4 linked regions of the Elephas maximus indicus genome follow. The protein of the gene in region 3 interacts with the protein of the main gene of each other region in a biochemical or structural test. Links are inferred from orthologs where the notes say so. Each region holds a gene or a part of one and is shown on either strand. Other genes may lie near its edges.

Region 1 (6,475 bases), on a different chromosome or scaffold from region 3:
TGCTCCGTAAAGGGAACTACTCCGAGCGGGTCGGGGCCGGCGCACCGGTGTACCTGGCGGCGGTGCTGGAGTACCTGACGGCCGAGATCCTGGAGCTGGCAGGGAACGCGGCCCGCGACAACAAGAAGACGCGCATCATCCCGCGCCACCTGCAGCTGGCCATCCGCAACGACGAGGAGCTCAACAAGCTGCTGGGCAAAGTCACCATCGCGCAGGGCGGCGTCCTGCCTAATATCCAGGCCGTGCTGCTGCCCAAGAAGACTGAGAGCCACCACAAGGCCAAGGGCAAATAAGGTCCCAAATAGCAGTGTCCAAACAAAAGGCTCTTTTCAGAGCCACCCACTATTTCTGTGGAAGAGTTGGGTCACTTAAGAAACCCAAACCCATTGCCGTCGAGTCGATTCCGGCTCAATAGCGACCCTAAACCTATAGTCAGTATTTGCCAGTAAAAGCACAACATTTACGGTCACTTATCTTAGGTCCGGTAGGTGTCAGTAAGATTTTCCAGTAGATGTGTCACCCTTTTTAAAATCAAAAGTGTAAAAAATATTAACTCCCCCCAACAGGTTTTTTAGATGTGGTGTACTGGGGGGCACGTAGCACATTCTTGCATAAAATTTTCCGCCGAAGAGACAATGTGGCAGTTATTGGCCAATCGGAGAATGGCGCGGGCTTTTTAAATAAGCTTCCTTCAAGTAACGTTTTAAAGATGGATGAGATGCATGCATACAGTAAAAATGCTCAGATTTAAAAGTGGGGAAAACCTCAACACTGTTCAACCTAATGTATGAGTGAAAATGGGATAACGAAAGACCGAAATACTTAGGATAGTGTACAGCTATTTTGTCAGAGATATTTGGGTGGCTCTGAAAAGAGCCTTTGGGGTTTAGACTTTTCACCAGGCCAACTACCTACTTCTTCTTAGGAGTCGCCTTCTTAGCCTTTGCAGCTTTGGGCTTAGCTGCCTTAGGCTTGGCGGCTTTGGGTTTGGCTGCTTTAGGCTTCACTGCCTTTGGCTTTGCAGAACTCTTGGCAGCCTTTTTCGGCTTGGCGGCAGGTTTGGCCTTTTTCGGGCTCTTGGCCACTTTCTTAACACCTGCCGCCGCGGGCTTCTTCGCCTTTTTCGGAGTCTTCTTCACGGCTTTCTTGGCTCCAGCTGCCTTCTTGGGCTTCTTAGGAGTGGCCCCCGCGGGCTTCTTGGCTTTGGTGGCGCCAGCCTTCTTGGCCTTGGGCTTTGCTTCCCCGGAGGCTGCCTTTTTGTTGAGCTTGAAGGAGCCCGAGGCGCCAGTGCCCTTGGTCTGCACCAGGGTGCCCTTGCTCACCAGGCTCTTCAAACCCAGTTTGATGCGGCTGTTGTTCTTCTCCACATCGTAGCCGCCAGCGGCTAGCGCTTTTTTAAGCGCGGCCAAGGAGAGACCGTTGCGCTCTTTGGAAGCGGCCACAGCCTTAGTGATCAGCTCGGAGACCGGAGGCCCGGTTGCCTTGCGCTTCGCGGCGCCCCCAGCTGTCTTCTTAGTTGCCTTCTTCTTGGCGGGGGATTTCTCCACTGGTGCCGGGGCGGCAGTCTCAGTGGGAGCCGTTTCCGACATGGCGATAGGAGAAATTGCAGGAGAGGTTTCAAATCCAAAGAGAGCAAGTTTTGCAATGCTGGCTCGTTCAAGCCCCGGGCTTATATAAGGCGGCCCTGGCCTGTGATTGGTGGAGAGTCCAATCCACCGCCCTCGGGCAGACGCCTCTCGGAGTTGGACTCCCAAGTTGTGTTTGTTAGTCGCCAAAATTTGATTAAATGAGAAAAACAACGGTGCAGAATTTGGCTCCTTGAAGCTCTAAAGGAGGAAAAGAGCCTCCAGGTTCACAAACTTATTCGTGTTTTCATGAATCGTGACCAGACGTTGAAAGATATTTTTTAAAAACCCTTTAGCTTTGAGTGTGGATCCACCCGGTTGGGGTCATTGCGATAGTTAGTTGTATGTTGCAGTAGATTTCTACTAAGTATTAAACAAAAGTTTTCTAAAAGGATTTGTTCAGAGGTTCAGCTTTTGATTTATACAGGAGGGAAGACACTAGGTTTCTTGCGTTTGGTATAAACTTTGTTTCTAAGTGTTGTAAGTAACACAGATATAGAGCAACTGGTTTCCTACCGCCCCAGATTAAAAATCTGTTCTGCCTTTTCAGAGTTCCCACGTGCTGATATCTTTAGAGAAAAAGGACTTTGCAGCTTGGAAAAACTCAGTTGCCAGTGTGACTTCTTCCCCGTTGCAGCAAGAGCGGAGATCTCTTGCTTCAGATTCCAAAGCCCAGATTTAAATTCGAATTTGGTATGCTATCTGATCGAGATGCTTTCTCTCGTTCTTGGGCAAATTCAGGAAAATGAGGACCAAAAAATGCTTGCCTCTGATAATTTGCTTTAGAAAAATCTCTCAAACCTGTTGAAAATTATTCGAGGGCTCACAGTATCTTCCAGAATGAAGTGCACGTTTAGATGACAGGATCCTATCAGGCTTTCAATACATTTTTCCTAGTGCTCTTACTAAGCCTCTTATGTTCACCAACACTGAACCAGTTGCATAGTTGCGAAAATCATTTTCTGCAAGACGCCAGGAGACATCAATGTGAACATTTGTGTGTGTTTAAGTTCTGACAGATGCATATTTTAGAAAAATAACAGGCTATTTTGAGAAGGTTAGATTAGGTATGGAGGGGCTGGAGGTTACAGGGGTTCAGAAGAATTCAGGAAAACATTAACTTTGAAGAGAACTGAGGCAATGACTATGAGGTTGGAGAAGTTTGCTATTTATTTAAGGGAAGAAATGAAAAGATTTTATGGCCGCTTGATAAAGGAGATCAAATGATGATTCAAATCTCTGATGCAACCAACAGTCAATTCTTGCCAGTGAAAACCTGGGGTGGAGTGGGGGTGGGGGGGGAGGCTCAAATGGCCAATGCACTTTATCTTCCCTCCGGGAGCACCTGGAATAGTTGGCAAAGTACCACCTGTGGGCCACATCTGGACAGTGCCTGTTTTTATAGCTCTCAAGCTAAGAACAGTTATCTTTCTAAAGGACTGCAAAATGAAAGAAAGGGAAGAAGGAAGAGAGAATATATGACAGAGATCATATGTGACCTGCACAGCTTAAAGTTCTCACCATCTGGTCCTTTTGCTGTGTTGTGGACGCCTCCACATAGACACAGATGATGGTATGCTATTACTACAAGACTCTTTCGAAACAGTGCAAATTGAGAACTAATGAAAGGGAGATCTTAACAAGTAAATGTTCTAACCAAGTAATTTCTATGGTTTTAATCAAAACTTTCAGGGAGGTGCTGTGTTTAAAGTAGGGAGAGGAGATAACAATAAATTAAGCATTTACTAAGTGCCAGAGAACATTCTTAGTATGCTGCACTACAGGTTTTTACTTATCTGTCACATTTCACTGCTGCACATCTGAGGCCTAGAGAGTGGATCGCTAACTTGCCCAGGGTTATAAAGTTAGCAACTATCTGCTCTGGGATTTGAACCTAGATCATCTGGCCTCACACTATTATGCTGGGAAAGTGATGAGGGTGGAGTGGGGACCGAGGGCAAGGCTATTTTTGAAGCTTGGAATAGGCAGTAAATTGATCCCCCCCCCCGCCCCCCGCGGAAACCCTGGTGGTGTAATGGTTAAGTGCTATGGCTGCTAACCAAAGAGTCGGCAGTTCAAATATGCCAGGCGCTCCTTGGAAACTCTACAGGGCAGTTCTACTCTGCTCTATAGGGTTGCTATAGGGTCGCTGAGTCGGAATCGACTCGATGGCAACGGGCTTGGTTTTTGGTACCCCCCTAGCAGACAGATACTAAAGGAGCTCTAGGTTAGAGAATCTGTAGGAAGAGGCTCCTGACCTCCTCCCTCTGAACAGTTTTTGTGAACCAATTCCATAGTTTCTGAAATCTTTAGAAAGAACCAGTGGCTAGGACTACAGCCCCTTTGGAAGAGCAAATTGAGGAAAGGGTGGTAGAGAATGAGATTGCTGATCTGTGCCAAAACAGAAGAAAATTTGCCTTAATATAACTCTTTGCCGCCTTCTGAACTCAAGATATGTACCCAAAAAAGTCAACAGTAAAATGAAGTAGTGATGGTAGTATACAGGTAAAATACTGGATAAGGTTAATAAATGGAGTGCTTGTTAGAAAATCTGAACTCTACGTGCAGAGACCAGGAACTGCTTTCAATTGCCATTTTGGGCTTTTAATTTCCATTGTGCTTCTGTATCTGAAGAAAAAAAAAATCATGAAAACCAACTTCACAGAGGTATAACAAGAGCATTGATAAAGTCTCGGCAAATAATTTTCATATAACTTTAGAGGCAGCTCATTTTAGATAAGTGTTGTCGGTAGTTAAGTCTCCAGGCCTTGCTCCCCAACCCCTACATACAGAAAACTACAGTGTAAGGTCACTTGTTCGGTTCCTTACAATGGCATGCATAGTGATAAAGTACCTTGGGAAAGTTCATCTGCTTTTGCACAATTATACTTGCCGACCCTCAATGTGTTAAGTTGGGGGTTTGCAAAACGCACAGCTATTTTACACCCTAGAATAATCTACCTGCGTAACTATCGGTGTGGCAGGGACTTAAGCAAAAGAAAAGAAAAACTTTTGAGATATCAGTATGTGTTTTAGAAGTTTAACAACTCTTTCTTGGAGAGAATTGAGGGGCTCTGAAAAGAGCCTTTTAGAGAAAAATATTGAGAACTGTTTATGCCCTCTCCCCGCGGATGCGGCGGGCCAGCTGGATGTCCTTGGGCATGATGGTGACACGTTTGGCATGGATGGCACACAGGTTGGTGTCCTCAAACAGCCCCACCAGGTAGGCCTCGCACGCCTCCTGCAGCGCCATGACCGCAGAGCTCTGGAAGCGCAGGTCGGTCTTGAAGTCCTGCGCGATCTCGCGCACCAGCCGCTGGAAAGGCAGCTTGCGGATCAGCAGTTCGGTGGACTTCTGGTAGCGCCTGATCTCGCGCAGCGCCACGGTGCCGGGCCGGTAGCGGTGGGGCTTCTTCACGCCGCCGGTGGCCGGGGCGCTCTTGCGGGCAGCTTTGGTGGCCAGCTGCTTGCGGGGCGCCTTGCCGCCGGTGGACTTGCGGGCTGTCTGCTTGGTTCGGGCCATGAGTAAGGAGTCGTGACTGCTGCACTGGAGAGACTAAGGTATGAGGTGGTCGTGGCATTATTTATAGTGACTCTCGCGTTCTGATTGGACCGTCTACTGTTGCTCCGCCTTAGCCTACGCAAGCGGAATTGGCCCCCAGATTAATCCCCTAATACAAAATGTTTCCCGCTCCCACTTCAGACTAAAAACAAAAAACATCAACCAACCAAACTCTTTGCCGTCGAGTCGATTCCGATTCATGGGGACTCTAGGACAGAGTAGAACTGCCCCATAGGGTTTCCAATGAGCGGCTGGTGGATTCAAACTTCTGATCTTTTGTTTAGAGAGGCGAGCTCTTAAACACTGGGCCACTATTTCAGCCTAGGAAATGTAAAAAAAAAAGTATTTTACTGGTTAAGAGAAAAAAAACTTGTTGGAGTTTGCACTATCTAAATTACAAGAGAATCCTGTTTGCTTGAGTATCTGAATTCTTGGGACAAAGTTTATTGAATAACATTAAAGGAACAACTGAGATTAAGGAAACTGACTCGTAAATGGGGGCTTCTAATGTGGGTCGAAATTCGAGTGTGCTATGTTAGTACTTCTAAAATTTAAAAATCATGCTTTTTAACACAACGATCTACAGTCACTACCTTTGGCTTTGCAAGCCATGCTGTACCGCGAACTGATGTAGTGGCGCGAAAGCAGTCATAGGACAAAGGAGCAATGACACATGCGGCATGCATTTGGCCAACAGCGCTAGTCTACCGACCCAGGATTTTTCATTGACTCGGAGACGTTGGTTACGCTGTTACCGGCGTGCCAAACGGAAGGGGAGTAACTGCTTTAATGCTTACTATCAATTTAAACTACTCTCTTCCTTAGTGTTTGGTTAAACCCCCGAAGGTATATTAAAAACACGATCCAGCTATCATTAAGGAACTTTTGACTTTCAAAGTGTACCCGGCTCCTTAACAGATTTTGTGGGTGGCCCTTAAAAGGGCCTTTGGGGAATAGAACGTAGACAAAATCTCTAGCCTCCGAAGCCGTAGAGGGTGCGCCCCTGGCGTTTGAGCGCGTAGACCACGTCCATGGCAGTGACTGTCTTGCGCTTGGCGTGCTCGGTGTAGGTGACGGCGTCGCGGATCACGTTCTCCAGAAAGACCTTGAGCACCCCGCGGGTCTCCTCGTAGATAAGCCCGGAGATGCGTTTGACACCGCCACGCCGCGCCAGGCGCCGGATAGCAGGCTTGGTAATGCCTTGGATGTTGTCTCTTAGGACCTTGCGATGGCGCTTAGCGCCGCCTTTGCCGAGGCCTTTACCTCCCTTGCCGCGACCAGACATGTT
Region 2 (8,398 bases), on a different chromosome or scaffold from region 3:
TTCACCTGCTACACAAGTAAGGAAACTGAGGCTCAAAGAGGGGAAGTGGCTGGCCCAAGGCCACCCTGCTTATAAGTGGCAGAGCCAGCAGCCTTTGGCTCCTGAGGCCATCTTCCTTCCGCTTTTGCCCACCTGCCTGGGTGTTGTGAGATCCCTCCTCACCAGGACACCCCCTGCCCAGGGACCTGAGCAGCCTGCTGGCCCTCAATGAGTCCAGAAGCTTCCTAACTTCAGTGAAAAAAAAGACACGCAGATGTTTCTTCTGGAAGACCCCCAAGGCCTGAAAGGGGAGAGGTGATACCATGCGGCAACTTGACACCCACTACTAAGCCATAAGCAGTGTGTGAGCGTGACCACACCGATGAGCGGCATCAGTCCACCCCTGAGAGCCCCCAGGCACCCTTCGCCCAGGCCAGGCAGGAACAGGGCGGCACAGGCAGCTGACAGCACACCCCTCAGGCTTCCATAGGCTCATGCCTCAAATTCCCCAGCAGCTGCCACCACTGAGCAGCCTGTCCTTGTTGCTGATGGGGGTGCAGGGCGGGGGGGATGGATGCTCAGAAAGAACCTCACAGGCCGCAGAGAGCACTTCCTGCTGCGGCTTCATCCTGGCCCACCCGCCTCTCAGAACCCTCTGCCTCTCAGAACTGTTTCTACGAACAGCTTCCAGAACACAGTGGACGTGTTTGGATGCCGCGTGGAGACACCAGCTCCAGTAGCCGTGCTGAACCCTGTCTCCGCCGTGCGCTCCTCTGAAGATCAGAGAAAGGTGGTGGGCCTGTGCTCCAGAAAAAGGCAAGACGCAGATGCAGGAGATGGTGGAAGGCTGCTATGGCCCCCACCCCCGCCCCAAACCCACCTCGTGGTTTTCAAGTGAAGAGTCTCAGATTTCAAAGTTTATAGACAAACCCCACTTCTATTTTGCACCCAAAAGCAAATATCCAGCTCGAAAATAGGAGGGTCTGGGGAGAGAGGGGAGCAGCCTCTCGGGAGTCCCAGAGATAAAGAAAAACAGAGGGCATTTCCACTGCATCTAAGGCACTCTAAGCTGGCGGGGGGGGGGGGGGGGCGGCGCGGGGACCGGACCACGACAAAAGACTAAAGGATAGAGAAGGTGCCCAGGATCAGGGAAGCTTTGCTGGAGCCAAGTTCCCCAAAGGGAGGCTCACGTTTTACAGGACTTGAAAGAAGGGTCAACTTGATTTAATTGGGGTTAGGGGGCCCCAGCCGCCAATGGGTCAAGCAGAGTTCATGAGATCACATTTCAAGGTCCAGGACAGTATAAGAAAGGACAGCCCCTACCCTCTGGCTGTGGAGGGGTCTGGGGTCACAGCTCCATGGCCCCATGAGAAGTTTTAGATTTCAGGGCTCTGGGGGGACTTTAAGTGGGGTGATTGCTGTCACATCTCCAGGGCAAAGTGGCGATTTCTCCATCGCCCCGGAAGTGCAGAAGCATGTGGGGTGTGGGGACTGTGGACTGCGGGGGTCTGGGGGGGAGATACACACTATGATCCCAGAACCAGGAGAGCTGTGTTCAGATCCCAGCAGAAACGGAGGCAGAAGCAGAGAGGGAGGGGCAGAAAAAAGCATGCATTTGCAGGTTGGAGCCTTGGGGAGGGCACCCCAGGAGGGGCGGGGCAGGGCTGTGATGAGGTCCTAAGAGAAGTTCTGGGCTCCTCTATCCTATGTCACTTCTGAATCAAGGCAAACATTTTGGGAACTCGCCTCTGGGAGGATCTGGAAGAAAGCAGATTCCTGGGTAGGGATGCTCTCAGCTTTATCCCAGGATGGTCAGAAGGGACCCCAAGCTGCTAGAGGGGACCACCATCTCCGAGGGTGCAGAGCCTGGATCCTTGATCCAGGGTGTCGGGAAGAAGCCCAGGGACCTACCTCTCCTGGAACCAGCTGGGGACCTTCCAAGGACCAATATATGGAAAAAAGAGGGACTCAAGCCACATCGGAACCACTTAAAGGACCAGTCCTGGGGCTGGGTGAGGTGGAAGATATCCTAGGCCAAGAAGTTTGCTGCTACTACAGAGCACAGGAAAAACACCCAAGATTTGGAAGTGGCATCTGATGGCATGAGCGTGGGGTTTAGAACCCCTAGAAACGGGGTCAGTCACTCCCGATGCTGTCCTGAGGGGAATAAGAAGGAGAAAGCAGTACCCACGGCGTGAGGCTGATGAAGGATTTGAGACCTCTGACCCACAACAGGGAATGGCTCAGCCCCAGGGGGCGGGGCTCCGGGACTCAGGCAGGAGCCCCAGCGGGGCCCCCGAAACCAAGCCTGGGGCACAGCCCGCCAGCGGACTCAGTATTAGTGGTGATCTAGGACCCTGGTCCCGCAGCCTGGGCTGGTGGCGGTGGCAGCACACGGCTGCAGTCAGGGGACCCTTCTAAGCTGGTTCACTGCGCGAGGGATAAACCCCAGATCCTAGCCCTCTATGGCATGGGGAGGGGGCGCAAGGGAGACGCAGACACTCCTCCCGGCCCAAGAGCACGGACCCCGCTGGGACGAGGAGGGGACGAGAACCCCAAGCCATCACGCTGTCCGGGGTGGACCCTGCCTCAAGCTGGGAGGAGCGGCCCTATTCCTGTATTTACGGAGCCCCGGATCGCGGCACCTCGCAGCGGGTTGGGGGATCCCCGATTCCGGGCGGCATGATGGGGGTGAGGTGTTGGGACCCCGCCCCCAGCCTCCCCGCCCCCGCCCGCACCCCGAGCCCCGGACCCGGACCGGGGCCGACGCGGGGACCCCGGGCGTCGGGCCGCGCTGTAGGGCCCCGGGCGGAAGGCGCAGGCCCCGGCTCGCCGCCCGGCCGCGCCCCGCCCCCTCGCCCGCCCGCCCGGGCCGGCGCCGCCGCCGCTCACTCACTTTGGCCTCCACCAGCTCCGCCGCCATCTTGGCCACCAGCGTCCCCAGCGCCGGGACCCCCAGCCGTCGCGTCACGTGACCGCCCGCCACTCGCGGGCGGGGCCGCCGCCGGGGCCAATAAGCGCCCGCGCGGCTTCCTCCCCCGCGGCTCGCGCTCCTGCGCGCTGCGCTTGCGCGCGCGGCCGCGCCCGGGCCTCGAGCCAATCAGGGCGGCCCAAAGCCGCCCCTCCTTCGCCCGCGGTGACCACGCCCACCCGCGGCAGGGTCTCGCTTCTTAAAGGGACAGAGTCCAGCGCAGGTGGGGGCGGAAGGTTGGGCCCATCTGGGGAGGGAGGGAGCGTGGGGCGGCGCAGACAACAGTGCAGCCAGGTGCCGCGGCTCCCTGCGCCGGGCGCCCGCCAGGTAGGTGCCCGGACGCCTGGCGGCGTGGGGGGAGGGGACGGTCGCTCCACTGAAGCGGACGCCAGTGCACTCAGCGCGGTGCAGACCTGGCGCCCCAAGCGCCGCACATCCGGGTCCTTGGCCGGGGGGCGGGCTCTGCAGCCCCCCAGCCCGGCCAGCCTGAGAAACGCTGGACCCCCGCCCACACACGCCGCCCCTCGTGCAGCCCGCGTCCTTCTGCAGGCGCCTCCCCCCACGTTTTGTCTCCCCCACCCACCCCTTCGGAATTCCGGCTCTGCACTGACCTGAACCTCCCGAGCTCAAACGCTGTCCTTGGCTCCCCAGTGCCCATAGTCAGCGGATCTCATTCTTTCCTGTGTCCAAAGCGGGAAGAAAGAGGACATAAATGTATTCTATTTCAAGACCTATCCCCTGAGATGCTAATTCTCAGGCGCAAAATTTAAGGAGGCGCCATGAACCACTACTTCCTCTAACATGAGACCAGAACTGCACCGTGCCCAGCTACTGTTACCAAACGTTTCTATCTGGGACACATTAGATGCATCCTGATAGCAAGGGGGAAAAGGTGGACTGGAACTTCAAATTCCCAAAGAATCCAGACTTCCTGGACCCATTGAGACTGGAGAAACCCCCGGATACTGTTGCTTTGAGATACTCTTCAAACATTGAACCAAAACCATCTCCTGAGGTCATCTTTATACAAACAAACAAAAAAAAAGTTTAGCTTAAAAAGAATACCATCCTTAACTATTGAGATAAAAAAAAACAACACTATATGAGACCAAAGCGACAACAGTAACTCTAAAGCATAGAAGAGCTTAGTGGGCAGTGAGTCTAAATTGTTAGGTGCCATAGGTTCACTTCCGACTCATACCGGCCCCATGTATATAACAATGGAACACTGCCATCCTCACAGTCATTGCCCACTGTTCCAGCCACTGTGTCAGTCCACCTCCTTGAGGGTTTTTTTTTCGCTCACCCTCTATTTTATCAAGCATTATGTCCTAAATTAATGGGGGTGAAATAACTAGAGCAGAAATTACAAGAATATTGACACAATATGAAGAATGTTACCAATGTCACTGAACAATATGTGACAAACAGAAACCATTAAATGGGAGCATGTTTTGCTGTGTATATTTTCACCAAAAACAAAGTTAAATTTTATGAAAAATTAAGGAGGCACCAAACAATCCTGTGATCAAGGTAAATATGTTAATGCAAAAATTTTAAAAATCGAAATAAATGCAGAAAAATTCCATGATAAATAAAATATCAATATTTTAAGTAAAGACAGAATCCACTCTGGATTTGGCCTGAGGTTCACAGCAGTGAACAAAACAGGCAAAAGTCCTGCCCTACAAATTCAAATTGCAATTAATGAAAGCTTAAAAAAAAAAAAAAAAAAAGTTGCCTTTGACTTGATTTCTACTCATACCAGCCCTATAGAACAGAGTAGAACTGCCCCATAGAGTTTCCAAGGAGCGCCTGGTGGATTCAAACTGCCGACCTCTTGGTTAGCAACCATAGCTCTTAACCGCTATGCCACCAGGGTTTCCTAACGAGAGCTAAACACACACACACACACACACACACCACACCCACGAGAGCTAGCACCCCAAAATCAAAGGACATACGTATTGGCCTTGGGCAAATCTGCTGCAAAAGACCTCTTTAGAGTGTTAAAAAGTAAAGGCATCTCTTTGAGGACTAAGGTGTGCCTGACCCAAGCCATGGTATTTTCAATCACCTCATATGCATATGAAAGCTGGACAATAAATAAGGAAGACAGAAGAATTGATGCCTTTGAATTATGGTGTTAGCAAAGAACATTGGATATACCATGAACTACCAGAAGAAGGAACAAATCTGTCTTGGAAGTTACAGCCAGAATGTTTCTTAGAAGAGAGGATGGCGAGGCTACATCTCACGTACTTAGGACATGTTATCAGGAGGGACCAGTCCCTGGAGAAGGACATCATGCTTGGTAAAGTAGAGGGTCAATGAAAGAGAGGAAGACCCTCAATGAGATAGATTGACGAGTGGCTGCAAGGATGGGCTCAAGCATAGCAACAATAGCGAGGATAGTCCAGGACTGGGCAATATTTCATTCTGTTGTAAGGAGGGCCACTATGAGTTGGAATGGAACTCAGAGCACCTACCAACAACATATCTTAAAAGAGATTGACTCAAGGTACACCCTATGCTAATCCTGCCTCATTAATATAACAAAAACGACCATTCCCAAATGGAATCATGATTGAAGGCTTCCAAAAAATCAAAACCTACTACTGGAGTTGATTTTGACTCATAGGGACCCTATAGGACAGAGTAGAACTGCCCCGTGGAGTTTCCAAGGAGCTCCTGGCAGATTCAAACTGCCAACCTTTTGGTTAGCAGCCATAGCACTTAACCGCTACACCACCAAGGTTTCCATATTTTAGAGGGACAATCCATACCACCTAGGAAGCAGTTTTACCCTGACACACATTGGGTCACCATGAGTCAGAGTGGGCTTGACAGCAACTAAGGACAGAAAAAATAGAGAGGAAATGTTAAATCCCCACAAGACCATTATACAGCCAGCTTTAAATCAGAATTCATCAAGTCTAGTCATATCCTTCCCAATTTAGCCAAGATCACAAATCACCTGAACTGTTAGGTGATATACATATAGGTGTAAGTACAGAGGAGTCCCTGGGTGGTCAAATGGTTAACCGCTCAGCTGCTAACCTAAAGGTTACCTCTTGGAACTCACCCAGAGGCACCTTGGAAGAAAGGCCTGGCAAGCTACTACCAAAAAACCAGCCATTGGAAACTTTACGGAGCATGGTTCTACTCTAACTCACATGGGTTTGCCAGGAATTGGAATCCACTCGACGGTAGCTGGTTTGTTTTTTTAATAGGTATAGAAGGAGTCCCTGGGTGGTACAATGGTTACGCATGTGACTAGTAGCCAAAAGGCTGGTGCTTCAAGCTGTTCAGAGGTGCCTCAGAAGAAAGGCCTGGGGATCTGCTTCCAAAAAGTTACAGTCTTGAAAACCCTGTAGAGTAGTTCTACTCTGCACACTCGGGCTTGCCAAGAGTTGGAATCTCTTAGAGGCCGACTAGCAACATAGCTGTAGAAACTTGACTTCCTTTTTTGCACTGAAGTAAACTGAATCAGGTCTAGGCCAAGTATACCTGTGAAATTCGTAGGTTTAGTGTTAAAGCGCCTTAAAATAGGTAACAATGTAAATACACAATAAGTACAGGTAACAAGTAAACTAGATAACAATGTAAACACAATGTATATGTTCCTACGTCTCCATCCCAGGACATCGGTTGCCATGGAGTAGACGCTGCCTCGTGGCGCCCCCATGTGTGTCAGAGTGGAATTGCACTCCACAGGGTTTTAAGTGGCTGGTTTTTCAGAAGTAGATTGCCAGGCCTTATTTCTGAGGTACCTCTGGGTGGACTCGAACCTCTAACCTTTTGGTTAGCAGTGGAAAGCATTAACCCAAGAACTTCTATATCACCATATAATCTTGATCACAGATCACATTTTCTGGCTCAAAGAGACAAAAATGGGGATTCCCTAAAGATGTTGGAGACAGCCCTGATCTAAGCCACCCAACCCACTGCCGTTGAGTCGATTCTGACTCATAGCGACCCTATAGGACAGAGTAGAACTGCCTGGTAGAGTTCCCATCACAGATCACATTTTCTGGCTCAAAGAGACAAAAATGGGGATTCCCTAAAGATGTTGGAGACAGCCCTGATCTAAGCCACCCAACCCACTGCCGTTGAGTCGATTCTGACTCATAGCGACCCTATAGGACAGAGTAGAACTGCCTGGTAGAGTTCCCAAGGAGCGCCTGGTGGATTCGAACTGCCAACCTCTTGGTTAACAGCTGTAGCACTTAACCCTATGCCACCAGGGTTTCCCCTGATCTAATCAGGGTTGAGGAATCTGTCTGTAATCTAATCAAGAGTCAAGAAATTTGTCTATCCTTCTCACCTCCCCACCCCCAGGATATTTCTCAGCAACCCCCAACCCTCTCCCCTCCCACCACTCACTGTCCACACCCTTCGTCTTGCTTTTGGACTCAGTTCCTTTTCTGGAAGCCACTCCTTTAGGGGAAGGGTTGAACTACCTGCAGGCCACTGCCCTACATGGTGCGACCCGTAGCAGAGCTCCTGTGACCCAAACTCCCTTTGACTTTCTCACCTTCTCACGCTCTGCTGCCTCCTTCTCCCCTTGTGGGCTTCCGTCCCTCTGTTTATTCGGCCTGGAATGTTCTCTCCCTTTTCCTCTCCCCCTCTGCCAAGCAGCCAACACAGGGCCTGGTGCAGAAAACCAACCAGTACCAGTTGCCCGGGAGTTAACTCTGACTCAAGGTGACCCTGTGTGTCAGGGTAGAACTGTGCTCCATAGGGTTTTCAATGGCTGATTTTTTTCAGAAGCAGATTACCCTGCCTTTCTTCCCAGACACCTCCAGGTGGACTGGAACCTCCAATTTTTCTGTGAACACCCAAGCCTGTTAACCATTCACACCCCCAGACTCAAAACAGCTGATAACAGAAGTTCTGAACTCTCCTTCCACATTCCCTGCCTTTCTAGAGTCTTTCCCTTCCAATTGCTTTTGCCTGAGATATGGAAGACTGTGGGTGGAGCCAACAGTTAACACTAACCAAAGAGTTAGAAGTTCGAGCCCACCCAGAGGCACCTCAGAAGAAAGACCTGGCAATCTCCTTCCAAAAAATCAGCCACCGAAAACCCTATGGAGCACAGTTCTACTCTGACACACATGGGGGCGCCATGAGTTGGAGTCAACTGGACGCAACTGATTTTTTATAAAACGTGTAGTCTAGTGCCTGGCATGTTAAAAGCACTGAAAATTGTTAAATATTATTTGCCACTCATTTAAAAAGGACAAGATCATCTGGAGGGTGTTATGCTGAGAAGGGAGGAGAAAAAAAAAAGCCAATCTCAAAGGTCACATACCATATGATGTCATTTGTATCACATTCTTGAAATGACAAAATTGTAGAGATGTATTAGTCTCCTAGGGCTGCCATACAAAATGCCACAAACCAAGTGGCTTCTGAGAACAGAAATTTATTGTCTCATAGTTCTGG
Region 3 (7,551 bases):
TGCTACTTCTTTCTCCCACAGAGCGGCTGGTGAGTTCTAACTGCCGGCCTTTTGGTTAGAAGCCAAGTGCTTAACCACTGTACTACCAGGGTTCCTGGAAAGAGTACAAGCAGGTGAAAGGACCATATCAGCTGAACCCTAATATTCATATCTTCTCCCTCTTCTCCTGTCACATCAGCCCTCCCCTCTGGTTGTGAGGTCAAAAGCTGAGGGTGCTCAAGGCGCTTCCACAGACAGAGGGTACCTGGAACCTACACACACTTGCTCTACGCCTGGACTGCAGCTGTAGCTCGCCATCTTTATACAGTTCAGCCTGCTGAACAGACATGGGTTTTATCTGTATTTCCTGGGCAGAGCAAATGTAGAGTCAGAATGGGGCCATAATGGTATTATCAATGGCGGACCACTTAGGGATGGCCTAGTTGTCAACCCAGAGATGGAATGATCACACCTTTTGACCTAGCTACTCTCTAAGTTAAACTTTCATTTATTCTGTCACACATTCCATTTATTCTATCTACATTTAATATATCTAACAGGTTACTAACTTATTTATTATCTATATTTAACACATCATATGGACTCCGGCTAGATCTCACAACCTACTTGCTTACTCATCATTCATTATCTCTTAAACTACTAGCTTCTTTACTCTCTGTGCTTAACACTTTTTATGAGTTTCACTCATTCTGTTTTTCTTGTCCTCTATATAAGAAGTGAATATTTTCAAATCCAGCACCCTCCCATTACAATAATGTTTTTAAATATATAAAGTGAAATATATAGTATTAAAAAAGAAACCAGTTATATTGAAAATACAGTTCTACTGAAAGACATCCTGTGTTCATGGGTTGATACACTTAATAGTCTAAGATGTCAACACTGCCCAAAGCAATCTACAGATTCAATGCAATCCCTATCAAAATTGCAACTGCCTTTTTTGCAGAAATGGAAAAGCTGATCCTTAAATCCATATGAAATTGCGAGGGGGCCCAAAAAGCCAAGGAAAACTTGAAAAAGAAGAATAAAGTAAGTGGACTAAACACTTTCCGATTTCAAAACTTGCTACAAAACGACAGTAATCAAAACAATGTCGTACTGGTATAATAATAGACATATAGACCAATGGGATAGAATTGAGAGTCCAGAAGTAAACCTATACGTCTATGGTTAATGAATTTTCAACAGAGTGCCAAGTCCATTCAACAAATGGTACTGGGACAACTGTATTTCCACATACAGAAGAATGAAGTTGAAACCCTACCTCATGACATATACGAAAATTAACTAAAAGTGGATCAATGACACAAATATAAGAGCTAAGCCATAAAACTCTTAGGAGAAAAAAGAGGGGTAAATTTTCAGAACCTTGTATTTGGCAATAAATGCTTAGATACGACACCAAAAGCATGACCAACAAAAGGAAACATATATAAATGAGACTTCATCAAAATTAAAAACTTTTGTGCACCAAAGGACATATCAAAAAAGTGAAAAGACAAGCTACGGAATGAGAGAAAATATTTGGAAGTCATACATCGGATAAGAGTTTAGTATCCAGAATATGTAAAAAACTTATACAACTCAACAAATAATCCTATGGAAAATGAGCAAAGGACTGAAATAGACAATTCTTTTAAAAAGATATGCAAAAGATGCTCAACATCATTAATCATAAGGGAAATGCAAATCAAACCCACAATGAGATGCCACTTCACACCTACTAGGATAGCTGTTATCAGAAAAAAAATGGGAAATAAGTGTTGTCGAGGACGTAGAGAGATTGCTGGTGGGAATGTAAAATGTCAGGAGCTGCTCTGGAAAACAGTTTGGTGGTTCCTCAAAAAGTTAAACATAGAATTACCATAAGCCCATTGCCCTCTAGTAGATTTCGACTCATCCCATGGCCATACAGGACAGAGTAGAACTGCCACACCCGGTTTCCAAGGCTGTGATCTTTATGGAAGCAGACCGCCACATCTTTCTCCCCCTGAGCGAGCTGGTGGGTTTGAACCAACCAGCCTGAACCTTTAACCACTGTACCACCAGGGCGCCTTGTTAAAATTAACAGCAATTCCATACCAGCAATATACTCAAAAGACTTGAAAGCAGGGATACAAACAGATATTTGTACATCAATGTTCACTGCAGCACCATTCACAATGGCCAAAAGGTAGAAACAACCCGTTACTGGAATAAGGTTCTTGCCTCTCACTGGTCAAGAATGAACAGGCTAAGGCACGCAGAATTTTCCACATAAGCAAAGCTTTATAGAAGACGCTTGCAAGCAGAGAAGAGGATGGCCTAGAGCAACGCATACCCCGTCTCACAGAACAAAAGACAGGCTGGGTTTTTAAAAGTTCTTGGGCGGTAAAAGACTCATGTTTATTAACACAGGCGGAGATAGTTAACTACAGTGCACGCACAGCAGCTTTCCAAGATAGCTCCTGTCCTGGAGGCCTCTGAGATTTGTAGCAGGACTTACGATGGGGTGTTGCGCCCGCGCAGTCACTCGCTCCAGCGTTTGATTCCCTGGCTGCTGCTGCAGCCCCTCACTGCCCCTGGTGCAAGGTCACACAGCAGGTCACAGGTAGATGTTCTGCGCATGTTCCTGGGGCTGGTTTTCTCCAGCTGCTTCTGAAAAACAACTTTAAAGAAATGTGTGGGCTATTTTCTGATACCCTGCCCCATTCTGGGCCCCATTGTTCTGGAGAATGGCTTTGTTTCTGCGCCCTGGCCCATTTCCTGTTACTTCACTTGCAGATTTGGGGGGCCCTCTATTTCCTGTGTTCAACCCAAATGCTCATCAACAAGATGAATAAACATATGTGGTACATAAATTAAAAAAAAGAAAAAAAAATTTTTTTTTAGTGGAATAATTACTCAACCATAAAGAGAAATGAAGTTCTGATACATGCCACCACACGGATGAACCTTGCAAAAAACATTTATACTAAGTGAAATAAGCCAGACATAAAAGGACAAATATTGTATGATGTCATTTTTACGGAATGTAAGTAGCAAATGCATAAAGAGAGAAAGTAGACTAGTAATTACCGTGGACTGAGGGTAGAATGAGGAGCTTTTTCTCAATGGGCACAACGTTTTTCTTTGAGGTGGTGAATAAGTTTCGGAAACAGTGGTGATGGTTGCACGACATTGTGAATATAATTAATGCCACTGAAGTGTACACTTAAAAATGGTTAAGATAGGAAATTTTATGTTCTGTATATGTTTTACCACAATAAAAAAAAAATTCAGCTCTGCATTAAATAACAAGATAAATCAACTCAGCAGTACCGGGTTTGGGTTTTTTTGTTTGTTTGTTTGTTTGTTTGTTTTGGTATGAGGAGGTCTAGTAACTACCGCTCGTGCAAGTACCGATGAACTTAAACAGTAGTTTGAATTATCTCCAACAACTGTAAAAACCCATTATCATCAAGTTGATTCCAACTCCTAGCAACCCTATAGGACAGAGCAGAGCTGCCCCACAGGATTTCCAAGGAGCCCCTGGTGCATTCAAACTCCCAACCTTCTGGTTAGCAGCCGAACTCTTAACCACTACACCACCAGGGTTTCCAACTGGCATAAAGTGATATGAAAGTATGTGACACTGTATATCACACTGTGACCCCACCCTGAATCCTCCCCCAACCCTTCCCTTCAACAGCAGATACTGGTATTGCTAATACTCCTGGGATTTAAATTCATAATGAGCAAGAGTCTGAATTTCAGTTCGTCTTCTGTCCCAATGGTCTATGGACTTCAGGTTAGAACACCCGCCAAGGGTCAGTTCGGGTTGACCTCCCACCACACGGTCCACCCTACAACAGATCAGTCATATTCAAGAGCCACCCAGCATCTTCCAGAACAGACTTGCCCTTCGCGGGCAAGAGGACACACTTGAAAAAGGGCTACCCATTGCCATGGAGTCCCTGCTGACTCATAGCAACCCTATAGGACAGGGTAGAACTGCCCCATAGAGTACCCGAGGCTTTATGGAACCCAAATGCCATGTCTTTCTCCCGCAGAGCGGCTGGTGAGTTGGAACCGCCAACCTTTGGGTTTGCAGCCAAGCACTTAACCACTGCGCCACCAGGGCTCCTTATAAAACGGGCAAGAAAAAAGAAGATTTTTTTTTTTAGAGGGTAGAATTAGAGTAGTAAGAGCAAGTAAGCTTCTCTGGAAGACAAAATGGGTAAAAGGAAGGGGACTGGTCCTTCACAGACGGTTCGAGCCCCACCACCATCCCCCTCTGGCAAACAGCAGCTGCTCAGAAAACGCCGCTTCGGGCGCACAGGAGACACCGCCCACCCGCGACCCGCAGGGGGCGCGCGCGTGCTGCCCGCCCGCCCCGTAAGCGCAGGCGCCGGGGACGTTCCCGCGGCCAGGCATCAGCAATCTATCGGGGAGCGCCGGGTGGTCGGCGCGGCGTGGTCGGCGGGGGCGGCGGCTTTGGGCGCTGGGGCGCCTGCGGTGGGCGGGCAGGCACGCGCGGGGCGGACGGGGCGGCGGCAGCCGGCGGCGGCAGCGTGTCTTCAGGTGGCGGCGTCGGGCTCCAGGAGCTGCAGCGGCACGAGGAGGAGGATGGCGGAGTCCTCGGACAAGCTCTATCGGGCCGAGTACGCCAAGAGCGGGCGCGCCTCTTGCAAGAAGTGCAAGGAGAACATTCCCAAGGACTCGCTCCGGATGGCCATCATGGTGCAGGTGCGGCCCGGAGGCCCGAGCTGGGCGTCCGTTGCGGCCCCGGCGGCGCGGGCCGCTTTGTACCGAGCGGGTCGAGCGGCGGGCGCAGCCCCTCCCTGAGAGCGCGAACCCCCCACTCGCCCCCGCAGTGTTCAGACGTGGAAGGGGCGGGTTGGGGAGGGTGCAGGCTGGAGAGCTGGCCCGGAGGGGCGAGCAGGGCCGGGAGGGGCGAGCAGGGCCCGGAGGGGCGAGCAGGGCCGAGAGGGGCGAGCAGGGCCGAGAGGGGCGAGCAGGGCCGAGAGGGGCGAGCAGGGCCCGGAGGGGCGAGCAGGGCCCGGAGGGGCGAGCAGGGCCCGGAGGGGCGAGCAGGGCCGAGAGGGGCGAGCAGGGCCCGGAGGGGCGAGCAGGGCCCGGAGGGGCGAGCAGGGCCCGGGGCCGCCCGAGCCGCTGGCCTGGGCCTGTGGGCGCCGCTGCTGCCACCATTCCTCGCGCGCTGCGTGGCCCGCCCGGGGACATTCCCGGACGGTTTTGTTGATCTTGCAGCAAAAACCCGGGAAATCTGGGGCTGCTGGTACCTTTTGATTTTTAAAAGTCGCTTCTGCCCTTGTTTAGGGCGGAAGAGCTCTTGTTTTTTCTTTTTACTGTCCGCCTTAGGGGGGAAAATAGATATGGTCTTTCGAAACTAGGCTGATTTTTTTTTTTAACACGTTATTTTTTCGAGCAGTTTTAGGTTTTCGGAAAAAGTGAACCGACTAGAGAGCTCCGTATCATCCCCTCCCCGCTGCACAGTGTTCTCCCCGTTATTAACACCTTGCAGTGGTGTGGTACATGTGTTACTGACGATGAACCAATGTTGATAAACTTAACTAAAGCCCGTAGTTTACGTTAGGGTTTTACTCTGTGTTGTATGTACGCTCCTGTCGGTGTTGACAAATGCGTAATATGTCCACCATTACAGCATTGTACAGAATAGTTTCACGGCCCTAAAAATGCCTTGTGCTCCACCTATTTATTCATCCCTCTCCCTGACTCCTGGCAACCCCTTTCACTTTGCTTGTAGGCTTGACTTTTTCCAGAATGTCCATATGGTTAGGATGGTACAGTATATAGTGTTTTCAGACTGGAAGCTAGCCTAACTTTGACCTACCTTGTGCTGGAAGATTTTTGTCCTACATTGATGCTGGCTGCTGACATGGGAGAATTTTTTTTCTTTTTTAAATCTATTTTTGGCTCTCATGTCAGCGGCCTGCTCACCCTCATTTTGAATCTTAATTTATGCAAAACTATGCAAGTTGGTGTAGTCTCTGTCCAGTACACGCCCTGCGGGTCTCACATATGTTTTAAAATAATATATCCCAGGTTCACAGATGTTCCCTTAATGCGTTTACAGCTGTCTGCTATGTGTAGAGTGGCTCTGGGAGGGTTGGTCATCTGGGCTTTTTGACCAGTCAGGGGTTCCCCCTCAGTGCCCTAAGGGGTTTTGGAGTGTACTGTGAGGTGGTGTGTCTTAATGCTCCTGCTAAGGGCTGGGGGTTCCTGCCTGCTCCAGCTTACAGTTTGCTGATGTAATTCTGGCTCTCACCTAGCTTGGTGCTCAGCATCAGTTAACTGTTTTCCTCCCTTGCAGCGAGACAGGAGTGTGTGTGAGGAATGACCACATAGCCCTCACTGGATATTCAGGACTTATGGGGTAGAGGTGTGGGAGACAGTACACATTAATGAAGTGGGTACCCAGTGCCAGGTGTACTTTATTCATTTCATAATATGGCAGTTACTGAGGTGGTTATCTTGGCATCCTCAGGACCTACCTAGTTCTGTACCTGGCATATGTATTTATTCAGTAAACATTTACTGAGCACTTGTTAAGTCCCAGGCACTGTGTTAGGTGCTAGGAACATAAAGACACACTGCTGGTCAGGGGTGGTATCCCCCTCATGGAACTGTGTGCCCAAGAGAGGAGGCCAAGAGGTCGCGCAAAGTGTGGGAGCTTGAAAAGGAGTCATTGTGTACAAAAGTGGGGCACAGGAAAATGAGGATAGAGGAGTAGCCTGGACCTGCAATTTGAAGAGCCATTTCTCCCATTAAGGGGCTTTGAATGGGGCATTGGTGCATCGGTGGTAGAATTCTCACCTCCCACGAGGGAGACCTGGGTTCTATTACCAGCCAGTGTACCTCGTGTGCAGCCACTACCCGTCTGTCAAGTTTGTCATACTGTGGTAGCTTGAGTGTTGCTGTAATGCTGGAAGCTTTGCCACTGGTATTTCAGATACCATCACAGTCACCCATGGTGCACAGGCTTCAGCAGAGCTTCCCAAACAAAGACTAAGAAGAAAGACCTGGCAATTTACTTCCGAAAATTAGCCAGTTAGCCAGTGAAAACTATTCATTACAAGGAAACATTGTGAGATTCACAACCTATCATGGGGATGGCACAGCCACAGGCAGTATTTCTATCGTACTTGGGGTCACCGTGAGCTGGGGCCAACGTGATGGCAGCTAACAATGATAGCAGGAGGTTTTGAATTTTACCCTCAGTATATGGGGAGCCTGCTCTTATGAAGTCCCATCTCAGTGCAAGGATTCTGCAGGGATTCTTAACCTAGGGTCTGTGGGATGGTGGCTGGAACTCAGAAGAAATCCATGAATTGGTGTGGGAAAATTTTTTACATCCCTATTTTTACTAATCTCTAGATGAAATTTAGTATTTCCCCTAATAACGAATGTAAGCGTCAGAAAAACAAACCCATTGCTGTTGAGTCAATTCTGACTCATAACGACTCTATAGGACAGAGTAAAACTGCCCCGTAGGGTTTCCAAGGAGCGCCTGGGTGGATTTAACTGTTGGCCTTTCGGTTAGCAGCTGAG
Region 4 (8,321 bases), on a different chromosome or scaffold from region 3:
AGTGTGCCAAAGAGAAGCTGTTCATGGGGAGTTGTCTCACTGCTGCCAGGTGAAGGGGGTGCCAGAAGAAGTTACTGGCCACTGGGCACAGCAGGAACTGGGCACTGGGAAGCCATCGTGCTGCAGGAATTTGGGGCTACAGGAACACACCAGAACCAGGAAACAAAATCCCTTCATTTCACAGTCTCTCCAGTGCCCTCTACTGGCAAAAGAAAAGGAGCCCAGGTGGCATAGCGTTTAAGCACTCAGCTGCTAACTGAAAGGTCAGCAGTTCAAATCCACCAGCCACTCTGTGGAAGAACGGTGTGGCAGTCTGTTTCCATAAAGGTTACAGCCTTGGAAACCCTAAGGGGCAGTTCTATCCTGTCCTATAGGGTAGCTATGAGTTGGAATCAACTTGACAGCAACAGGTTTGCTTTCAAGTTGGCAAAAGTAAAATACTTACGGGTGCAGTCTTATTTTCACAGCACAGGCAAAAAGGGTGAATTTGGAGCTGAGAGGCAATCAATAACAGGTACAAAGGAATTCCTCATTCCAGGAGAGAGGATTCTGCCTGGACCTTGACTGAGGAAGATGCCTCATTGGTGGGGCTTGAGTTTTCCTACCCAATCTGCCTCACTGACTCAGCAGTAGCCAGAATTTGAGTTTGGGCCTGAAGTCATTAAGAGTGGCATTTCTGTTAATCCTGGGATATCCTTCTGTGGAGCCATAGCCTGGGCTGAGTTGTCCTGTGAAGAATTGGAGGAGTAACCACTGGTGACACCATTTGGGGGTGCTGTGACCAGCAGATCAAGGGTTCGGGGCTGACTAAACAGAGTTAGCTACAGCAGCCTGGCGACCAGAGGACAGAGGTGGAGGAAAGGTCTAGAGGGATTGGCCCAGGAGCTCCCGCCTGCCCCAACTCCCAGGTCAACCCTTAGGAATCCATCCAAATAGTGGGGACTTGGGGGGATTTTTCTGAAATGGGGGGGAAGGCTGATGTTATAGTCATGTGAATATCAAAGGCAAACATAAAATAATGACATGGTCCAAGGCTATGGAGACACAGGAGATACACTTAGAAGAGAATAACATTTAGATCCAAAGAGTCAGTACAATTACTATTGAGGGCAAAGTTTAAAATTGTTTATTTCCTTCTGTATTTCCATGATTTTACATGATATGGGGATAATCCTGACTCAGAGCAACAATTTTGGAGTTCCCCACTCCAGCCCACAATAAAGAACTGAGAAAAGAAAGTTTCCCTTCCAACCACCTTTCCATTTGGGCCAGCAATGAATTCCTGTGTGCTAACATATTTTAACACTCCCATGATATAATTTATTGTACAGTCTTCTTGCAAATGGTAAGTTCATCATTTTTCTAGGTAACCTGATTCTGACACTAGCAAGTTGGGGATGCAGACAACTTCTCTGAGCCTCAGTTTCTTTATCTATCAAGTGAATGGAGAGATTAGTTGCTAAGACCACTTCTAGCTCTAACAGTGTGTTTCACTATAAAACCTGTTGCCATCAAGTCAATTCCACTCATCAGGAATAACCCGCAAAACTTAGATTTACAAATTAGATAAACTAGAGAGCAATTTATTTGCTTTACTAACAGGATTCTTTATTTCTCAAATGATTCACAACCGAATTTCTTTTAAAAAATTTACTCAGTGTCTTTTCAAGAGCATTTTTCAGGAATACGGTATTAAACAGTAATGCTGCCATTCTACCACATTAAATAGTGACTGTACACATGGACCTCACTGGATGGAATACACAGGAATCAAATTGACTACATTTGTGGAAAGAGACGATGAAAAAACTCCGTATCATCAATCAGAACGAGGCCAGGGGCCAACTGCGGAACAGACCATTAATTCCTCATATGCAAGTTCAAGTTGAAGCTGAAGAAAATTAGAACAAGTCCACAAGAGCCAAAGTACAACCCTGAGCATATCCCACCTGAATTTGAAACCATCTCAAGAATAGATCTGATGCATTGAACACTAGTAACATCAAGAATAGCACACACAAAGGAAGCAAAAGGTCATTAAAAAGGCGGGAAAGAAAGAAAAGACCAAAATGGATGTCAGAAGAGACTCTGAAACTTGCTCTTGAACACAGAGTAGTTAAAGTGAATGGAAGAAACGATGAAGCAAAAGAGGTGAATAGAAGATTTCAAAGGGTGGCTCAAGAAGACAAAGTAAAGTATTATAATGACACACTCAAAGACCTGGAGTCAGAAAGCCAAAAGGGAAGAACATGCTCAGCATTTCTCAAGCTGAAAGAACTGAAAAAAAAATTCAAGCCTCGCGTTGCCATACTGAAGGAGTCTATGGCCAAAAAATTGAACAATGCAGGAAGCATCAGAAGCAGATGGAAGGGATACACGGACTCATTGTACCAAAAAGAAGCAGTTGACACTCAGCCATTTCAGGAGGGAGCATATGATCAAGAACCTTTGGTACTGAAGGAAGCTGCACTGAAGACATTGCCAAAAAACATGGCTCCAGGAATTGACAGAATATCAACTGAGATGTTTCAACAAACAGATGCAGTGCTGAAGGGTCTCGCTCATCTATGCCAACAAATTTGGGAGACAGCTACCTGGCCAACTGACTGGAAGAGATCCATACTTGTGCCTATTTCAAAGAAAGGTGATCCAACAGAATGCGGAAATTATCAAACAATATCATTAATATCACAGGCAAGTAAAATTTTGCTGAAGATAATTCAAAAGCAGTTGCAGCCATGTAGCCACAGGGAACTGACAGAAATTCAAGTCAAGCTCAGAAGGGCCATGGAATGAGGGATATCATTGCTGATTATCAGAGGGATCTTGGCTGAAAACAGAAAACACCAGAAAGATGTTTACCTGTGTTTTACTAGTGCAAAGGCATTTGACTGTGTGGATCATAACAAATTATGGATACCACTGTGAAGAATGAGGAGTCCATAACAATTGTGCTCATTTGTGTACACAGACCAACAGACAGTTCTTCAAACAGAACAAGGGAATACCGTGTAGTTTAAAATCAGGAAAGCTGTGCGTAAGGGTTGTATCTTTTCACCATACTTATTAAATCTGTATGCTGAGCAAATAATCCAAGAAGCTGGGACTATTATGTAAAAGAATGGGGCATCAACATTGGAGAAACACTCATTACCAACCTGCAATATGCAGATGACACACCCTTGCCTGCTGGAAGTGAAGAGGACTTGAAGCACTTACTGATGAAGGTCAAAGACTACAGCCTTCAGTATGGATTACACCTCAAAAAAAAAAAAAAAAAAAAAAACACCTCTACAGAAAGAAAAATCCTCCCGACTGGATCAATAAGCAACATCATGATAAAAGGAGAAAATACTGAAGTTGTTAAGGATTTCATTTTACTTGGAACCATAGTCAATGCCAATGGAAGCAGCGGTCAAGAAATCAAATGACGTATTACATCGGGTAAATCTGCTGCAAAAGACCCCTTTAAAGTGTTAAAAAGCAAAGATGTCACTATGAGCACTAAGGTGCACCTAACCCAAGCCATGGTGTTTTCAACCACCTCATAAGCATGCAAAAGCTGTACAATGAATAAGGAAGAGTGAAGAATAATTGATGCATTTGAATTACAGTGTTGCGGAAGAATACTGAATATACCATGGACTGCCAGAAGAACGAACAAATATGTCTTGGAAGAAGTACAGCCAGAATGCTCCCTAGAAGCAAGGACTATGAGGCTTGTCTCACATGCTTTGGATATGTTATCAGGAGAGACCAGTCCCTGGAGAAGGACATCATGCTTAGTAGACAGTCAAGGAAAAAGAGGTAGACCTTCAACAAGGTTGACTGACACAGTAGCTTCAACCATGGGCTCAAACATGATTGTGAGGATGGCACAGGACTGGGCAGCGTTTTGTTCTGTCGTACATAGGGTCGCTACGAGTCGGAGGCAACTGGATGGCACCCAGCAACAACAGTGCAACCATAATTGTAACTAGTGTAGCTGCCGGTTACAAATGTTCAGGAATTCAGGATTTTTACGTAAGTTAATCAATCATAATAAGTTATCCCCTTACGCTTGTCCAAGCCCAGTCTTTCTTCAAATCAAGAAAATGCCCTTTACGTGGTGAGATTTTAGAGACAACAGTGAAGTCTTAGGCCCAGGGAAAAGCAAGCAAGCAAACAAAAAGATACAGTTCTTATCTGACATCATATCATAAAGGTTTCATGCCTTTGTCTCAAGGCTTCGAGAGTTCTTTTTTAAAGCGAATATCTTTGGTATGAATAAAACCATAATTTCTTTACAGATATTTACAACGTCAGTGTGCCTGGGTTAATTAGTTGCTCTCCTGAGGGGTCTTGAGAGAAAGGTGTTGGAAGCCGAGGGGTGAAGACAGACTGGAGGAGAGGCTGGTAGAGGCGGTAAGGGTGAGGTAGAACCACTGGGTACGAACTCTCTCCTATCCTTGATTTATTCCCGGCCACACGCTCAGTGCCTGACGCATGGGGGCGCTCAAAAAATATTTCCTGAAAGATTCTGAAGCTGCTTCGCCCAAAACTGGCTGTGTGGCAAGGTTGGAACCTGAGAAGGCTAAGCTGGCATCCTCGCGCCCACGAGGGCAAATTTCCAAGTGGAAGCAACGTCTGGGAGCCGGGAAGACCTCAGCAGATCCCACGGCTGGCCGGAGGGGGCGAAGGTAACTGTTATAGATATAGGTCCGGAGCGGCCCGAGGGACAGGAGCAGCACAGACTGGGGTCAAGGGTCAGGCTGGGGACGAGCCCTCTGGCTCTGGGAACTCGGTATCCGCGGTGATGCGAAGGCCAAGATCGAGGTCCTACTCTAGGGGCAGCCGCGGGGGCGGCGTTGGGGACCGAGGGTGGGTGGTCATCGCGACCGGATCACTTTGCGCGCCGCTGAGTCTTCAGGGAGCGCTCCCCTGGGTCACTGTAAAAGCGGCACTTTTGCAGAATAAGCGCTTCCCGGAACTGTGCGCGCAACGGCGGGATTTAACTCCGCAGACTTCGTGAGGCACGCTCTCGGGTGCGAAGAGTGCCCTCTTCGGGGATGGTGCGCGCTCTCCCCGGCGGTGCGCGCTCCCCTCGACAGTGACACAGGTCATCTTGCGCGCCGTCAATTTTGGGGAGCGCCGGGTCCCGAATCAGGGGCGGTACCCGCAGTCTCGCTCGGCTCCGCGCCCTGCCCCGGCGGCTCCTCCCCCTGAAGCACGCGGGCTTTTACTTTCGCTTTCGCTACAGCGGCCCCTCAGACCCCCGCACCGGAGTGACCGACGGAGCGGCTAGCTCTGGCTGCCCGACGGCCTTGGGAATGGTAACTGCGGCCTCCCCTCCGCCTGCCCTCTCCCTCTCCCTCGCTCGTTTCATGCGTGGTTTCCGCCGTTGCGAGCGCAGTTTGGAGACAGCTAGGAGCGGGGTGGTGTGGTGGTAGGAGCGGGGAGGGCGGCCCGGACGACAGGCGTTGAAACTTTGGGGGAACGGTTTACCCCGCCCCTAGCCCCGCTTGCTTTGCTCAGCTTGTCCTCCCTTCCCTCCTTGCCAGGGGGCTTAGGACACCCCATACTATACGGATTTTGCTAGAATCCCGCCTCCCCGCTTCTGCCCCCCGGCCGCAAAATCTTTTGCGGTCGAGTCGATTGCGAATCATAGCGACCCTAGGTTTCCAAGGTGCGGCTGGTGGATTCGAACTGCCGGACCCTTTAGTTTGCAGCCGCGCTCTTAACCACTGCGCTGCTAGAAAGGAGGGGTGCGATGTCTGGCACCGCAGTTAACACCAAGGACTCCAGGTCAGAGAGGCCTGGTGGAACCAGTCCCCTCACTTCTGCTTGCCGGCTGTAGGACCTTGACCTTGTCTGTGCCTGCCTGTTAAATGGGAATGATGGGATCCCGGGCTGAGGGTGGCTGCAGGCATGGATGGAGGTGATGGTGCACAAAAGAGCCTCAGTCCAGGCTCAATACCTGTAAGCTAGTACCCTCATTGTCGGACTAGCCTTGCTGCAGGGGCTCATGGAGTGGTCTCGAGGAGGTGAAAAAGGCCTGTGGACTCCCAGGCTACAGGCGACCTTGCAACCCTTCACCAGTGTACCCAGCTTTGTGGTTTATGGGGCAGTAAAGTTGCTTGCAAGAGCCATGGTGGCACAGTGGTTAACCACGGGGCTGCTAATCAAAAGGTCAGCAGTGCAAATCCAACGCTCTTTGGAAACCTGTGGGGTAGTTCTCTTCTGGCCTATACGGTCTGTCAGAATCCACTTGATGGCAACGGGCTTCGGTTTCGGTTTTGTTTTCAAGTTGCTTGCGCATGACTGTGGATGAGTCATGCGCCACCCTTTTCTCGGAAACACTTGGACTGGGTGATGTTTACTTAAGGGCTATTTCCTCCTTTAGGATCTTCTAGGCAACCAGCCTGACCTTCGTCCTCAGTATCACAACCCAGGTTCCAACACCTGGATTCAGAACCCATCTTCTGCACCTCTTTACTGTGTGGTGTTGGGCAGGTTACTTAGCCTCTCTGAAGAAACCTAGGTTACCTCAGCAAAACAGAGGGCAAGGTTCAAGTCTCCTGGCAGTGTTGTGGGGAGCAGGTGATACAGTGGAGCACTTGAATGCCCAGGAGAGCTGCCCCCAGGTGCAGAGGTGACAGGTGAAGGTCACCAGGGCTGCTTCTCTTTGAGCCCTGTAGAAAGATTGCCTTTATTTGGTCAAGAAGTGCAGCACAAATTGCATCATGTTGCTTTTCAGGAGAAACAGCTGCAATGAGTCCATTTTCTCCCTCATGAAAAAAAAAAATCCAAGTTCAGACAATGCTGGGAAGTGATTTCTTACCCAGATATGTACCAGTTGCCCTAATATGGGGGCAGTAATTAAGTGTGTTTTGAAAGAGTCACTAGAGGAATTTTGTTTCTGTCTTCACAAAAGCTGTTTAAAGCATGGACGTGGTTTTAAAATACCAGTGCAAGTAGATGGTCCAATGTCTCCTTAGTCTTGAGTTCTGTGGACAGTGATGATAATAGGGCTACTTATTGAACATTCAGAACGTGTCACAGTGTTCACAGCCACCTGTGACTTAGGTGCCAGGGTTTGCCCATTTTCCGGATAAGGAGACTGAGACTCAGAGACGTTGAGTACTTTGAGGTTTCATGGCGGAGTGTGGAGGAGCTGATTTGACCCCAGATCAGCTGATTGCCGTGCCTGGACTCTCAACTGTCCTCCTGGGTCCCTTTGGTTCCGTTGTCTGTCCTGTGTCAGCAGTTTATTCTGGCACTAAAGGATTTAAAAATGCATTTCAGTTATAACATTCATAAAGAAATATTTCTTGAGTGCCTGCCGTGTGTGGGGCACTTTTCTGTGCCTGATTGTCATGGATTGAACTGTGTCCCCCAAAAATATCAATTTGACTAGGCCATGATTCCCAGTATTGTGTGATTGTCCACCATTTTGTCATCTGATGTGATTTTCCTATGTGGGGTAAATCCTATCCCTACAATGTTGATGAGATGGGATTAGCGGCAGTTATTTTAATGAGGCAGGACTCCATCTACGAGATTAGATTGTATCTTAAACCAGTCTCTTTTGAGATAGAATAGAGAGGAGCGAGCAGAGAGACATGGGGACTTCATACCACCAAGAAGCCAGAGCTAGGAGCAAAGTGCATTCTTTGGACCCGGCGCCCCTGTGCTGAGAAGCTCCTCGACCAGGGAAGATTGATGACAGGGACCTTCCTCCAGAGCCGACAGAGAAAGCCTGCCCCTGGAGGTGATGCCCTCAATTTGGCCTTGTAGCCTACTAGACTGTGAGGAATAAATTTCTCTTTCTTAAAGCCATCCACTTGTGGTATTTCTGTTACAGCAGCACTAGATAACTAAGACACTGATAAAAGAAAGATGATTAAGATACACTCTTAGTCTGCCAGTAGTCAAGAGTTCTAGCTGACGTTAGCATTAATAGTAATAGGAATGACTAACAGAGTGTCACTGTTAGTGCTTTGTCTATCGTATTGACTTTTAAAGAGAAGGTAGACATGTTTAACAATCCAGTAAGGAGTATCCCTTGGATGACTGCTCTTTGCACCGTGGGCCTCCAGAAGGGGACAAATACAAGGAAATGGTGCCAGCAAGCTGTTTCCGGGTGGTGTGGCAGACTGAGATAGGCCTGGAGTTTCTTGCTGTGCCATGAGGATGAATGGAAATGAGGGGCCCATTTATACCAAGTCTTGGTTCTTGAGGCAGCTTCTTTCTTGATTGAAATGGTGTGCCTGGGATCAGGCACCCCACTCGATCACCCCCCTGGAGTATGAATGCCCTTTGGCTGGCTCCAGAAATCAAAC

The links.
Region 1: of the proteins of PARP1 (region 3) and H1-5, one has a biochemical effect on the other in vitro, tested with the Homo sapiens proteins (2 studies listed by BioGRID). The link is inferred for Elephas maximus indicus from reciprocal best matches to the Homo sapiens genes PARP1 and H1-5.
Region 2: of the proteins of PARP1 (region 3) and PIAS4, one has a biochemical effect on the other in vitro, tested with the Homo sapiens proteins (3 studies listed by BioGRID and IntAct, with this or other methods). The link is inferred for Elephas maximus indicus from reciprocal best matches to the Homo sapiens genes PARP1 and PIAS4.
Region 4: of the proteins of PARP1 (region 3) and CASP7, one has a biochemical effect on the other in vitro, tested with the Homo sapiens proteins (3 studies listed by BioGRID). The link is inferred for Elephas maximus indicus from reciprocal best matches to the Homo sapiens genes PARP1 and CASP7.

The regions. Positions count from the first base shown.
Region 1 is NC_064819.1:78,898,960-78,905,434, forward strand, and holds H1-5 (histone H1.5), read right to left. Parts: upstream 1,634-6,475; 5' UTR 1,590-1,633; coding exon 912-1,589; 3' UTR 879-911; downstream 1-878. Other genes in the region: histone H2A type 1-D, read left to right, coding at 1-293. UniProt on the Homo sapiens protein: Histone H1 protein binds to linker DNA between nucleosomes forming the macromolecular structure known as the chromatin fiber. Histones H1 are necessary for the condensation of nucleosome chains into higher-order structured fibers.
Region 2 is NC_064821.1:7,058,980-7,067,377, reverse strand, and holds the start of PIAS4 (E3 SUMO-protein ligase PIAS4), read right to left. Parts: upstream 3,015-8,398; 5' UTR 2,903-3,014; coding exon 2,876-2,902; intron 1-2,875.
Region 3 is NC_064842.1:16,085,003-16,092,553, reverse strand, and holds the start of PARP1 (poly [ADP-ribose] polymerase 1), read left to right. Parts: upstream 1-4,377; 5' UTR 4,378-4,587; coding exon 4,588-4,707; intron 4,708-7,551. UniProt on the Homo sapiens protein: Poly-ADP-ribosyltransferase that mediates poly-ADP-ribosylation of proteins and plays a key role in DNA repair.
Region 4 is NC_064834.1:64,640,290-64,648,610, forward strand, and holds the start of CASP7 (caspase-7), read left to right. Parts: upstream 1-4,986; 5' UTR 4,987-5,309; coding exon 5,310-5,312; intron 5,313-8,321. UniProt on the Homo sapiens protein: Thiol protease involved in different programmed cell death processes, such as apoptosis, pyroptosis or granzyme-mediated programmed cell death, by proteolytically cleaving target proteins.